Elephas maximus indicus: one gene and its partner. The protein of the gene in region 2 interacts with the protein of the main gene of each other region in a biochemical or structural test. Links are inferred from orthologs where the notes say so. Each region holds a gene or a part of one and is shown on either strand. Other genes may lie near its edges.

Evidence for each region. The genes of interacting proteins can lie anywhere in the genome.
Region 1: the proteins of ARF6 (region 2) and CYTH1 form a complex in vitro, tested with the Homo sapiens proteins (2 studies listed by BioGRID and IntAct, with this or other methods). The link is inferred for Elephas maximus indicus from reciprocal best matches to the Homo sapiens genes ARF6 and CYTH1.

The regions. Positions count from the first base shown.
Region 1 is NC_064837.1:68,622,829-68,630,814, forward strand, and holds the start of CYTH1 (cytohesin-1), read right to left. Parts: upstream 3,037-7,986; 5' UTR 1-3,036. UniProt on the Homo sapiens protein: Promotes guanine-nucleotide exchange on ARF1, ARF5 and ARF6. Promotes the activation of ARF factors through replacement of GDP with GTP.
Region 2 is NC_064828.1:62,171,602-62,179,164, forward strand, and holds the start of ARF6 (ADP-ribosylation factor 6), read left to right. Parts: upstream 1-4,472; 5' UTR 4,473-4,681; coding exon 4,682-5,209; 3' UTR 5,210-7,563. UniProt on the Homo sapiens protein: GTP-binding protein involved in protein trafficking that regulates endocytic recycling and cytoskeleton remodeling. GTP-bound form plays an important role in the transport of multiple palmitoylated proteins form the Golgi to the plasma membrane.

The DNA of each region.
Region 1 (7,986 bases), on a different chromosome or scaffold from region 2:
TGAAAATGACACCGGAAAAAGAACACACAGATATTTATGAAATGCCCTAGGGAAAGGGTTTTTTTGCTTGTTTTTAAAGCCTGATATTTAATATCAGTCACAAAGTGGGAATTCGGAAGGAGTTGAAGAATGGGATTATCTACAAAAGCGAGGGCTGCGCTTAGGGACGCCACCAAGGAATGATAAAGTACCAGTCCTAGGCTGGAGGGGCTGAAGGCACAAGCACTGCTGAACGGAGGGGCCCACCTCGTAGAAGGATCCAGCTGACCCTCTGCTGCCTGGCAGGGAGGAGCCCAGGAGAAATGGCTTTGTCCTCACTCTCCTCCATCCACCAGGAGCAGAGGGCCAGGGAGCCTGCCGATCACTGTACACAGGCTGAGTCTACCTCGAGAGAGTGACTGGAGAAGGGGGTGGAACTGGAAGAGCAGAAGGAAAGTATCTGCACAATCCCGAAGTCAGAAGACAGGAGGAACCAGGTTTGTCACTACTGGAAAAGGGATGTAGGAACACGAAAAGGGCGCAGGCTAGAAAGAATCCCAAAGTGCCGGACTGGAATCAGAGGGATGCGTGTTTGTAACGGTTGATGATCTATACTGTACTTAGCCAGCTCTACCGCTGGACACGTACCTGTTGTTTCCATTATATCCTATGTGATGACATATAATCACATGTAACGTCGTTTCCATTATATCCTATGTAATGCTGCAGTACACTGTACCTTTGTGCTCTTCTCTGATTGGTTCCTTAGGCTAAATTCCAGAAGCAGACTTATAGGTCAAAAGATATAACCTATTTTAAGACTCATACATGCTATGAAATCAGTTTCTCAAATGTTTCCATTTTCCAGCTGTGTCTGAAAGCACTAGCCTCGCCACGACTTCATCCCCAGTGAGTATTATCATTTAAAACATTTGCCGACTTGATAGTCTCTTAACATTTATGCTGCTGATTACCAGTGATGTCAAAGCTCTTTCGTTGTGTTTATTTGGCGTGGGCATTTGTTCTTCTGTAAATTACTCGTAAGTGTTGCAATACAATCATGTAAATGTCTTAAAAACCCCTGGAAGGGCATCCGTAGGTTGGAACACACGGTGACAGAGGCTTGTCAATCCTCGGCAGGCAGAAACCTGAAAATACTGCAAAACACTTTTAAAGGTTTTGCAAAAAGGTTAAGCAGGAGGGCGGGGCCAAGGTGGCTTACTAGGTAAAAGCTACCTCGGATCCCTGCTGCAACAAAGACTCAGAAAAACAAGTGAATCGATCACATACATGACAATCTACGAACCCTGACCATCAAACACAGATCTAAAGAGTTGACCTGAGTGACAGGGGAGTGAAAAGCTGTGCCCTGAAGCAGCGACCACCTCTGGAACCTGCGTCCCACTCCACAGCCTTGAGCCCTCGCAGTTCCCTGGTGCCGAGTGGTGGGGCTGACTGCAGCTTGCTGAGGCGGGGCAGGCACGGGACACAGCCCTAACCCCTAGCTCCTTGGGGTAACCTCAGTAGAGACTCAGCCAGCACAAGCAGGCTGCACACTGACGCAGCTAACAAGAGAACGAGCAACCACAGGGAAGCAGCGACTGTTTTCAGAGCCTACAGCCAGCATCCCAGTCAGAAACCCTTGGTGCCAGGCTTTGGACCGGGCACAGGGGAGCTAAGCATGGCTTCCTGAGGTGGTGCAAACACGGGACGCAGCCCTAGCCCCCTGAAGTGACCTCGGGGGAAGCCCAGCCAGCGCATGCCAGCAGCGCAACAACGTGGCTGACAAGAGGAGAAGTCACCGGGAGGCGCTGGGCTTTGGACTGGGAGCGGAGGAGCTGACCACAGCTTCTGAGACAGCACAAGCACAGGAAGCCAGTCTGACCCTCGGGGGCAATCTCGACCCTGCCAGCACACATAGGCTACACGCCCCCCGTCCCTCAGGGAATCTCAGATAAAACAGTCATCGCCAAGCAAGATAAGTAACTTTGTCTATATTGCTGGGTGCTACTCTCTCCTATCTATCTGATCCCTACCCTCTCTGCCCCAGGTGGCTTCATTAACATTGGAATTTCCTGGGCCAGGGAGTGAAGTGCTCTGTGGTTTGTTTGTTTGTTTTTTTTTTTTTTTTTTTTGTCTTTTCCTAACCCATTCTCCTGGCCTGAGAGAAGCAGCTATTAAAAACCCAGGGATGAAAAATCCTTCCGTAACTTCCCTAAACTGGAATAAAAATACAGAACCAGTTCCAGCCAAGCATATGAGATCCACAGTCTTTGGCTTTCATCCCTACAGGGAACAAGGTGGCTATTATAATGCAAAGGCAATTCTAATAGAGATCTGACTGTAATTGTTTTAGTGGATCACTGGAAAGACAAGTTTTCCAGGTCTGATATCTCTACCTATTAAACAGAGCCCTCACTGATCCACAACAGGGAACTGAGGGCTGAAGCTCCACCCAAACCACCTAGCCACCTGCCAAAGGGGTCTGAGGATACTGACACCTACCAATCTTTAGAGGTACATGCATTGGGTGCCTAAGGTACAGCTGCAGAGCCCACCCACCAAAGTGCTTTAGGAATAGAGACACACCTACCGCACTGGCATGTGGGGGAAGGCTGTCAGCAACCAGCCCCCCTGGAGTGTGACCCCCTGTTGCTACTAGAATCTGGTGCACACAACTATCACCACTACTCCTCTAAGTTAATAGGTGACAGTCTACACCACACACTTGGTGACCCAAAATCAAAACACCTAAGCTGATTCTATTCAAGAATAGTGAATGGACTCTTAGGCTTACATATCTGGTAACAGCCCAAACCAGCCGGTAATAGAACATAAGCAATTCAAAGGCTACAACAATCAAGACAGTGCAATCTAGTAGCCCATCTGCATATAATGAAAGAAAACAAAATAAGATAAGACTCAGTGAGCAAATATAAATCATTACAATATCTTAGAGATAGCTCAGAGACAGCAGTTGATATCAAACCACATTAAGAAAAAGACCATGACTGCTTCTACAACTCCCCAAATTAAAGAATCAAAATCTTTCCCAAATGAAGATATAATCCTGGAATTGCCAGATGTAGAATATACAAAACTAATATAAAGAATGCTTCAAGACATCAGGGATGACCTCAGAAATGAAATAAGGAAATCTACAGAAAAAGCCAAGGAACACACTGATAAAGCAGTTGAAGAAATCAAAAAGATTATTCAAGAACACGGTAGAAAAACTAATAAGCTGCTAGAATCTATAGAGAGACAGCATTCAGGAATCCAAAAGATTAACAGTAAAATTACAGAATTAGACAACTCAGTAGGAGGTCGGAGGAGCAGAATCGAGCAATTGGAATGCAGAGTGGGGGAGCTGGAGGATAAGGCAATTGACACCAATATAGTTGAAGAAAAATCAGATAAAAGATTTAAAAAAATGAAGAAACCCTCAGAATCATGTGGGACTCTATCAAGAAGAATAACTTGCGTGTGATTGGAGTTCCAGGACAGGGAGGGGTAACAGAAAATACAGAGAGGATAGTTGAAGATCTGTTGGCAGAAAACTTCCCTGACATCATGAAAGACGAAAGGATATCTATCCAAGATGCTCATCGAACCCCATATAAGACTGATCCAAAAAGAAAATAACCAAGACATATTATCATCAAACTTGCCAAAACCAAAGATAAAGAGAAACTTTTAAAAGCAGCCAGGGATAAAAGAAAAGTCTCCTACAAAGAAGAATCAATAAGAATAACTTCAGACTACTCAGCAGAAACCATGCAGTCAAGAAGGCAATGGGATGACATATATAGAGCACTGAAGGAGAAAAACTGCCAGCCAAGGATCATATATCCAGCAAAACTCTCTCTCAAATATGAAGGTGAAATTAAAACATTTACAAATAAACGCAAGCTTTAGAGAATTTACAAAAACCAAACCAAAGCCACAAGAATTACTAAAGGAAATTGTTTGGTCAGAAAATCAATAATATCAGATACCAGCACAAGACAAGGTCACAAAACAGAACATCCTGATATCAACTCAAACAGGGAAATCACAACAACAAATTAAGATTTATTTTAAAAAGAAAAAAATGCTCAAAACAGGGAATCATTGAAGTCACTATGTAAAAGATCACAATAATCAAAAAGAGGGACTAAATACAGGAGGCATAGAGCTGCCATATGGAGAGGAAAACAAGGTGATATAGGACGATACAAGTTAGGTTTTTATTTAGAAAAATAGGGGTAAATATTAAGGTAACCACAAAGAGGTCTAACAATTCCATAAATCAAAATAAAAACCAAGAAAAACATAACAACTCAGCAAACATAAATTCGACTACTATGAAAATGGTGAATACACAACTTACAAAGAAAAACATCTCAGCGCAAAAAAGTGGAAAAATGAAATTGTCAACAACACACACAAAAAGGCATCAAAATGACAGCACTAAACTCATACTTATCTATAATTACGCTGAATGTAAATGGACTAAATGAACGAATAAAGAGACAGAGAGTCTCAGACTGGATAAAGAAACACGATCCGTCTATATGCTGCCTACAAGAGACATACCTTAGACTTAGAGACACAAACGAACTAAAACTCAAAGGATGGAAAAAAATATATCAAGCAAACAACAATCAAAAAAGAGCAGGAGTGGCAATATTAATTTCTGACAAAATAGACTTTAAAGTTAAATCCACCACAAAGGATAAAGAAGGACACTACATAATGATTAAAGGGACAATTGACCAGGAAGATATAACCATATTAAATATCTACACACCCAATGACAGGGCTGCAAGATACATAAAACAAACTTTAACAGAACTGAAAAGTGAGATAGACAACGCCACAATTATAGTAGGAGACTTCAACATACCACTTTCGGAAAAGGATAGGACTTCCAGTAAGAAGCTCAATAGAGACATGGAAGACCTAATTGCTACAATCAACCAACTTGACCTTGTAGACTTATACAGAACGCTCCACCCAACAGCTGCAAAGTATACTTTTTTTTTTCTAGTGCACATGGAACACTCTCTAGAATAGATCACATATTAGGTCATAAAACAAACCGTTGCAGAATGCAAAACATCGAAATATTACAAAGCATCTTCTCAGACCACAAGGCCATAAAAGTGGAAATCAGTAACAGAAAAATCAGGGAAAAGAAATCAAATACTTGGGAACTGAACAATACCCTGCTCAAAAAAGACTGGGTTATAGAAGACACTAAGAAGGGACTAAAGAAATTCGTAGAATGCAACGAGAGTGAAAATACTTCCTATCAAAACCTCTGGGACACAGCAAAAGCAGTGCTCAGAGGTCAATTTATATTGATAAATGCACACATACAAAAAGAAGAAAGAGCCAAAATCAGAGAACTGTCCCTACAACTTGAACAAATAGAAAGCAAGCAACAAAAGAAGCCATCAGGCACCAGAAGAAAACGAATAATAAAAATTAGAGCTGAACTAAATGATTTAGAGAACAGAAAAACAATTGAAAGAATTAACAAAGCCAAAAGCTGGTTCTTCAAAAAAAGTTAACAAAATTGATAAACCATTGGCCAGACTGACTAAAGAAATACAGGAAAGGAAACAAATAACCCAGATAAGAGATGAAATGGGCCATATCACAACAGACTCAACTGAAATTAAAGGAATCATATCAGATTATTATGAAAAACTGTACTCTAACAAATTTGCAAACCTAGAAGAAATCGATGTATTCCTAGAAAAACACTACCTACCTAAACTAACACAATCGGAAGTGGAACAACTAAATAGATCCATAAAAAAAAAAGAGATTGAAAAGGTAATCAAAAAACTCCCAACAAAAAAAAGCCCTGGCCCGGACAGCTTCACTGCAGAGTTCGCAAGGTTGGTTCAATATTAGAAATACTATTAATGTAATCTACCATATAAATAAAACAAACAACAAAAACCACATCATCTTATCAATTGATGCAGAAAAGGCATTTGACAAAGTCCAACACCCATTCATGATAAAAACTCTCAGCAAAATAGAAATTGAAGGAAAATTCCTCAGCATAATAAAGGGCATCTATACAAAAATTTTTTTTTTATACAAAGCCAACAGCCAACATCATTCTTTTATACAAAGCCAACAGCCAACATCATTCTAAATGGAGAGAGCCTGAAAGCATTTTCCTTGAGAACGGGAACCAGACAAGGATGCCCTTTATCACCGCTCTTATTCAACATTGTGCTAGAGGTCCTAGCCAGAGCAATTAGGCTAGACAAAGAAATAAAGGGCATCCGGACTGGCAAGGAAGAAGTAAAATTATCTCTATTTGCAGATGACATGATCTTATACCCAGGAAACCCTAAGGAATCCTCCAGAAAACTACTGAAACTAATAGAAGAGTTTGGCAGAGTTTCAGGTTACAAGATAAACATACAAAAATCACTTGGATTCCTCTATATCAACAAAAAGAACATCGAAGAGGAAATCACCAAATCAATACCATTCACAGTAGCCCCCAAGAAGATAAAATACTTAGGAATAAATCTTACCAAAGATGTAAAAGACCTATACAAAGAAAACTACGAAGTACTACTGCAAGAAACTAAAAGGGACCTACATAAGCAGAAAAACATACCTTGCTCATGGATAGGAAGAGTTAACATAGTAAAAATGTCTATTCTACCAGAAGCCATCTATATATACAATGCACTTCCGATTCAAATTCCAATGACATTTTTTAATGTGATGCAGAAACAAATCACCAACTTCATATGGAAGGGAAAGAAGCCCTGGATAAGTAAAGCATTACTGAAAAAGAAGAAGAAAGTGGGAGGCCTCACTCTACCTGATTTTAGACCATATTATACAGCCACAGCAGTCAAAACAGCCTGGTACTGGTACAACAACAGGCACATAGACCAATGGAACAGAATTGAGAGCCCAGATATAAATCCATCTACATATGAACAGCTGATATTTGACAGAGGCCCAGTGTCAGTTAATTAGGGAAAAGATAGTCTTTTTAACAAATGGTGCTGGCATAACTGGATATCCATTTGCAAAAAAATGAAACAGGACCCATACCTCACACCATGCACAAAAACTAACTCCAAGTGGATCAAAGACCTAAACATAAAGACTAAAACGATAAAGATCATGGAAGAAAAAAATAGGGACAAAGCTAGGAGCCCTAATATAAGGCATAAACAGAATACAAAACATTACTAAAAATGACGAAGAGAAACCAGATAACTGGGAGCTCCTAAAAATCAAACACCTATGCTCATAAAACTCAACCACAAAAAGATAAACAACCCAAATAAAATTGAAAGACAAACAACCCAATTAAAAATTGGGCAAAGGATATGAACACACACTTCACTAAAGAAGATATTCAGGCGGCGAACAGATACATGAGAAAATGCTCTCGATCATTAGCCATTAGAGAAACGCAAATTAAAACTAGGATGAGATTCCATCTCACTCCAACAAGGCTGGCATTAATCCAAAAAACACAAAACAATAAATGTTGAAGAGGCTGTGAAGAGACTAGAACTCTTATACGCTGCTGGTGGGAATGTAAAATGGTACAACCACTTTGGAAATCTGGCGTTTCCTTAAAAAGTTAGAAATAGAACTACCACACAACCCAGAAATCCCACTCCTCGGAATATATCCTAGAGAAATAAGAGCCTTTACACGAACAGATATATGCACACCCATGTTTATTGCAGCACTGTTTACAATAGCAAAAAGATGGAAGCAACCTAGGTGCCCATCAACAGACGAATGGATAAATTATGATCTATTCACAATGGAATACTACACATCGATAAAGAACAGCAATGAATCTGTGAAACATTTCATAACATGGAGCAACCTGGGAGGCATTATGCTGAGTGAAATTAGTCAGAGGCAAAAGGACAAATATTATATAAGACCACTATTAGAAGATCTTGAGAAATTGTTTAAACTGAGAAGAACACATTCTTTTGTGGTTACGAGGCG
Region 2 (7,563 bases):
GCATGACGTCCTTCTCCAGGGACTGATCCCTTCTGATAACATGTTCCAGTACAAGAGACAAAGTCTTGCCATCCTTGTGTCTAAGGAAGATCCTGGATATACTTCTTTCAAGAAAGATTTGTTCGTTGTTCTGGCAGTCTATGGTATATTCAATATTCTTTGCCAACACCCTAATTCGAATGCATCAATTCTTCTTTGGTCCTCTTATTCATTGTTCAGCTTGGGTCAGGTGCACCTTAGTCTTCAAGGTGACGTTTTACTTTTTACACTTTGAGGAGGTCATTTGCAGCAGATTTGCCTAATGTGATAAGTTGATTTCTTGACTACTGTGAGACTGTCCATGACAGCCAAAGTACTACTTTGAGTATATCCCACCTGAATTTAGAGACCATCTCACTAACAAATTTGATGAAGACTAATGACCAAAGGTCAGCTGAGTTGTGGCATGACATCAAGGACATCATAAATGAAGAAAGCAAACCAAACAAAAAACCAAACCCATTGCCGTCAAGTCGGTTCTGATTCGCAGTGACCCTAACGTCATTAAAAAGACGGGAAAGAAAGAAAAGACCAAAATGGATGTCAGAAGAGACTCTAAAACTTGCTCTTGAATGTAGAGTAGCTAAAGTGAATGGAAGAAATGATGAAGTAAAAGAGCTGAACAGGAGATTTCAAATGGCAGCTAGAGAAAAGTATTATAATGAAATGTGCAAAGACCTGGAGATAGAAAACCAAAACAGAAGAACATGCTCAACATTTCTCAGGCTGAAAGAACTGAAGAAAAATTTCAAGCCTCACATTGTAATACTGAAGGATTGAGCTATAGGAATTCCAAAATAGGGGTAAACAGTCAGGGGTGCTGTTATTAGAGAAGATTCATTCTTGAATTTAAAAACAAATTATTCATTTATTTATTTTGGTGAAAATATACACAACATACTGTACTTCTACAATTTTTACATGTAATTCAGTGACATCGATTATATTCTTCAAATTCTGCCACCTTTCTCAACAACCTTTTCCAAACCATTTCACCATCATTAACACAAACTCACTGCCCCCTAAGCTTCTCATCTATCTTTTCTAGTTGCTGTTGTCATTATTCATTTTAAAATCAGAAAGCAAAGCCATTTTTAAAAAGTAAATATTTTTCTTATAAGCTGGTATTTTAGTCAGGATGTCTTAAGCTTAAGCATATTTTATGTGGATGTCAGATTAAAAATTACGAAATACGGCTTTCTATGGAAGTGTGGTTTGTAAGGAAGCTGGAGGAATCTCTTCATTTACAGACTTTGAAATAAAAGCATAGATCAATTTTTCCATAGTTAGCTTTTGGAACTTTGTTTTCAAAATTTAAAAACAGTGAAATAAAGCAAACTGAAAGGTATAATATTTTGTTCCATAAATGCCGATTTTAGTTTATCTATATTTTACCAAAAGGAAATATGTTTAAAACTGAAATTTAGTCTTTTAAAATTGTAATAACTTTAAAACTAAAGAAGAAATCAACAAAAGGTTACATCAGTGCTATGATTTAGTAGTTGTCAAAACTTACCTCTTGCAGAAGTTCTGGTTTCATTAAAATTCACTTGGTTTTTTTTTTTTTTTTTAACTGGCATGATTTTACATACAATGTTCAATTTTTTTGATGTATTTACTTTCGGACCAGTGGTTAAGAGCTATGGCTGCTAACCAAAAGATCGGCAGTTTGAATCCACCAGCTGCTCCTTGGAAACCACATGGGGCAGTTCTAGTCTGTCCCACAGGGTCGCTATGAGTCAGAATCAACTAGGTGGCAATGGGTTTATTATTATTTATTGTGTGTTATCATTATTACTTAAAATAATTCACTGTATAATTTCTAGTATGATGATCCACTTTAGATATCTAAGATAAGCCACTATATGAAAAGCTTGTCAATTGACCTATTATTTATCATGAAAGTAGTCTGTGCCTTTCCTGTCTTGTTTTGCCTATCATAAAAGACATTAATTCATTTGAATAAAGATTTAGCTACTACTTACATGCTTTCTTCTAGTCACGGGGGCACTGTACTAAATGAGACAAAGTCCCTGTCTCTGTGAAGCTTGCATTCTGAAGAATATAAATGGGAAATGACTTTTAAAAATAAATTTTTTAGTTCTAGCACAGTGCCAGTGCCAGGTAGATGCTAGTGCTTCATTGCTTCTGTTTTTAGTTACATCATGTCCTCCACTAAAAAATAAAGGCTGTTCCTTAACTATACATCTATATATGTATATACATATACCAAGCCCAGCAGATCTCCTATTTGTAAAAACTGTAATTTGCTTTGAGAAAACTATTATGTTCAAATGGATCAAAATATAATACTTGGAACTATTTGCCTCATAAGAAAAAATTCTTCCCCCAAGTATGGCCATGGCTAATGGCACTTTATAAAGCACTTAAGAAATACTGTAACTGAGTCTCAAAACAACTGTGTGACAGAGGTAGGGAGATAGCACAATTTTTGGATTAAGAGCATGGACTGTGGATTCATGATTTAATCTCAGTTCTGTGACCTTTAAAAAATTACTTAACCTCTCTGACTCTCAGTTTCCTCATATATAAAATGTTAATACTCAAAGCTACCTCGTACGTGTGCTGTATTAAAATAAAATACAATATTTGAAGTATTTAGTACAGTACACTCGATAAATGGTGGCTATTTTTTATTCTCATTAGGGATAATATCTTAACCTGACTTTACAGGAAAACAAACAGTTCATAAAAGCTGAGACTTAAGGATTCATAGTTATGAAATGGAGGGGTGACATTCAAACTCCGATCCTCTGATTCCACATCCTTCTTCGTTTTATTACAGTGCCTCTTAAGACAAATATTAAGAAAATTAGATCACTGTTAGAATATTAATAACATTAATAAACTCATTTCATACTTAAGTTTATAAGGTTTTTAACCTATCTACCATCATTAATTTTCTTAAATTTTGAAATGTTAGCACATGCTACATTACAGCATGTTTATTAAAAAAACAAAACTATATTCCGGGTTTTTTCCCTTTAAAACAAGCAAACTGATCCACTGATTCCTACTCAGAGCGACCCTACAGGACAGAGTAGACAGAGCTGCCCCATTGGGCTGCCAAGGAACTGCTGGTAGATTCAACCGCCGACTTTCTGGTTACCAAGCTCTTAACCACTGCGCCACCAGGACTCGTTTTTCCCCTTGATTGGGAGTATTTACTTAGAAACCACTACTGATCACATAAAGGAGACATTTAAATACAAAAACTTTCAGCATCCTAAAAAAGTTGAAAGCGCGGCAAGGTACGGGAATTCAAAATGCTGTAATTTTTAAGAAACGTGGGCTGGTCCTGACGAGATCTGTAAGAGAGAAGTTTCAACCAGTCAAAAGAATGGTTTCAGAGCAAACGTAGCCCGGTAAAAGTGCAGCACTGACAGATTTCTGCATGAAACACTGACCTCCCACGTGTCTTTCAGAAAACACACAGAACACAAGAGATAAAGGAGAGGCCCGGAAGGAAGTAAAAACAGCGGATAGGGCTTCCCAGGGAGACGGAGGGTGCGCGGAGTCTGGGGCGGGATGAAGGGAACTTGGAGAGCATCTGGCGGGCACCGAGGTCTAAAAGGCCTGGAAGCGGCGTGGGGGAGGTGTTCTGTCGTGGGAGCGTTTCCCCGCGAGCCCCACTATGTGGAGTCCAGGTGGATTTACTCCCCTGGTTTGGGTAGAAGTGAGGAGGACAGAGCGCGGGAGAGAAAAGCGGAGAGACGAGGAGAAGTTAGACTAGTGACAGGGGGACGCGGACCAGAATCCAAGGTTCGCGGGCCTTCTGGCGGGCCGCACCCGCAAGGCCTCCGAGCTACCGTAGCCCCGCCTCCTCCAGCGAGTGGCGCCCATGACGCTAGGCGCGCGGGCCGCTCTTCTTACAGAGGTCGCTCTTGTCCGAACGGTCGGCCTCTGCTGCGCCTGCGTAGTTGGGAGGGGAAGTGAGGCGGTTTCCTCGGCGCCTTTTCCGGCGGTGGCGGCGGCAGAGCTGGGAGGAGGAGGTAGAGGCCGGAGCGAGCCCGCGCTCGGGGCGGCGGCTGGAGGTAACCCCCCGGGTTGAGCTGGAAAGGCGGGCCTCTCGGACTCCGCTCCCTTTCGGAGCCCGGGCAGTAACTTCGCTCTTCCTCTCTGTGTTTCTGCAGGCAGCGAACCGAGTTCCCGCGAGGATCAATGACCTGACGAGGCGCCGGAGCCGCACTGCCTCTCGGGTGGCCTGGGTCGGTGGGGAACTCGGTGCTTACGGACCTCGGGCGGCCGGAGAGCCTCAGTCTCCCGTGGCTGGGTGAGGAGAAGGCGGAGGAGCGGGAACCGCGGCGGCGCTGGTGCGGCGCCTGCGGGGGGAAGGGCAGTTCCGGGCCGGGCCGCGCCTCAGCAGGGCGGCGGCTCTCCCGGCGCAGACTCAGGGCCCCGGCAGCGGCGGCGACAGGAGGAGTCAGGGTGTTCGGTTGGGGATGCCCGAGTGAGCAGCGGGCCTGGGCCTCTGCCCTTAGGCGGCAACTCCCAGCGAAGGCCGCACGGGCGCCCTCGCGGCGGGGAGGCTTCGTTTCGTTTTCGCGGCGGCGGCGGCGGCGTTGTTGGCTGAGGGGACCCGGGACACCTGAATGCCCCCGGCCCCGGCTCTTCCGACGCGATGGGGAAGGTGCTATCCAAAATCTTCGGGAACAAGGAAATGCGGATCCTCATGCTCGGGCTGGACGCGGCTGGCAAGACCACGATCCTGTACAAGTTGAAGCTGGGCCAGTCGGTGACCACCATCCCCACCGTGGGTTTCAACGTGGAGACGGTGACTTACAAAAACGTCAAGTTCAACGTATGGGATGTGGGCGGCCAGGACAAGATCCGGCCGCTCTGGCGGCATTACTACACCGGGACCCAAGGTCTGATCTTCGTAGTAGACTGCGCCGACCGCGACCGCATCGATGAGGCCCGCCAGGAGCTCCACCGCATTATCAATGATCGGGAGATGAGGGACGCCATAATCCTCATCTTCGCCAACAAGCAGGACCTGCCCGATGCCATGAAACCCCATGAGATCCAGGAGAAACTGGGCCTGACCCGGATTCGGGACAGGAACTGGTATGTGCAGCCCTCCTGTGCCACCTCAGGGGATGGACTCTATGAGGGGCTCACATGGTTAACCTCTAACTACAAATCCTAATGAGTGTTCTCCACCCATTCCCCCGGAAGGAGAGATATCAAAAACCCATTCATAGGATTATCGCCACCATCACCTCTTTCAGTTGCCACTTTCTCTTCTTTTGAATTTGAACTCTGGAGTTACTGTTCTATGGTTGGGGGTGGCGTAAGGGTTTTCTTTTTGTTTTTTTTCCTTTTGCTTTGCCTTAGGATGCTCTGATCTGTCATTTGACATGAACACAAAAAGTGCTAGATGCTCTTGTTGACTTCCAGTAAATGGGGTGGGGGAAATATAGCAATTCTTGGTAAAGCCCTTTATAATAATGGTTTGATTTTTTTATTTCGAGAGAATCTTTTTTTCCAATGTATGCTTTTTTTCTTTTTGTTCAGTTTCCTTATCACTTGCTGTAGATGGCTTATTTTGCATTCATGCAGACTCTGTTGCAAGTCTGTTTCATCTAGTAAACTGAAAATTATTGCTTAATCAAACTGCCGTTTGTCTTTTATATTTAAGGCCTTTTTCCCTCCCTTATGAGTTCTGATTTTAACTTGGTAATTTCGAATGTGACCTTTTATATCTAAGACCAGTATAGTAAATCTAGCCCACAGTGGCAAATAATGAGTAATATCGTTGTAATATGTTCCAGTTGCACATCAGTATGTTAAACAGGTAATGTAAGAAGTTCTTTGAAACGTCAGCTATAAAGTTCTGAAACATACATCATGCATGAGTAGGGATAAAACCCAAGTTCCCCATAACAGCTAACTATGCTGCATTAGACTTTGAAAGTGTAACCTGTCACGGACACAGATCTTTTCACTGCAAAGCTAGCAACTTTGCTGTGTTTTCCCTTTTTTAACTTTGGACTTTCCAGAAATTGGAGCAATAATGGTGTATGCCACACACAGATGAAGTATTTGTAGATACTTTAAGTGACTTTTTGGCAGATCTGGAAAATATACTTTTTTCTTGTTTTGAACAGCTAAGACTAGTAGATTTAAAATACTTTGTTTGTTAATAAAGCATTTAACAATTCAAATTATATGCACATTTTACTTAAAAAAAAACACATTTCCTGTTTTCACATTACAGCAACTGATTAAGCTGAACATATAAATCATTTTTTTACACAAGAGTGATCAACATCTTCATGAATTAGAACACTGGAAAACATGTTTTATAAAAAGATAATTTTGTTAAATTGTAAAATTAACTCATGCAAGTAGTAAGTCACATATCTTGTTGGTTCAGTAATATACCATCTCCTTTAAGGAAGGAAATGATGTGTAGACTTAAGGAATGACAAAGGGAAAGTAGGATGAAGAGAAAGAACCTACAGATGACAATGAATGTAAACTTACTTTTGAAGGGTAAGCAGTGTGCTCACTGGTGATATTCAGATCCTAACAAGATTACTTGCTTAACTGGTTAGGACCAGTAACTAGGTTGTTGAGACCACTATGATAATAGTTTGAACCAGATGTTAATAATGCATGATAGAGAATTGTGAAGCAGCATTTGGTTCTTATATAGCCTTAAGGATTAATTTTAGAGATCCTCGAGGAATTAAACTTAGGGAACTTCAGAAATGAAGACTGAAAAGGCAGTATACAGGAAAAGGTTTTGTTAATGAGGGTATCTGCAGACTAAAATTGAGTGGGTTATCATGGTATAGTTGGACGGTATTGGTCCTTCACGCTTTGGCCATATTGTATAATGGAGCTTTTACCAAAGATGTATGAGAAACATAAAGTTACAAAAGATGAACTATTCACAGTAAAACTCTTGACAAACGTTTTCCTTAAAGCAGATGGGAAGAGGTGCTATATTATAGCCTCCTAATGGTGCAAAGGGATTTTTGAATTTAATGTGCAACTAAGGTATAAAGTGTTCAGTTTCACTTTAGTGGAAGTATGTAGAAATTAGGCTGACAGATGCATCTAAGAATATTTTGGTTGCCTTTAAAATTCCCAAAGCTCCATCATAAATTTAATTCTTAATGTTTTAAATGATTACATTTTAAGGTCTATGAACATGGACTATACAAATATCAATGCTGTAGGAACATCCTGAAACAAGACAAGCACAAAGGTATAAATGCCTAAACTGGAGGAAACTTGAAACCCTCATGTTAATTTTTAAATGTAGTATTTCTAACTTGTGACAGATTGGTAGGCAGCCATTTTTTGTGTGTGTGTCTTAAAATAAGTGGGGACAGTTAAAATTTTATACATCAAATGATGGGTTTTGAATGTTGCAGGTGAGATGTGGTTATTTTTGGTTTATTTGAAATGTCTGACTGAAGCGGGGGGAGGGAGAAGCAAATACTTGAAAATTGGAAAACCCTAGATCCTTTGGTAAGAAATTGTAATTCT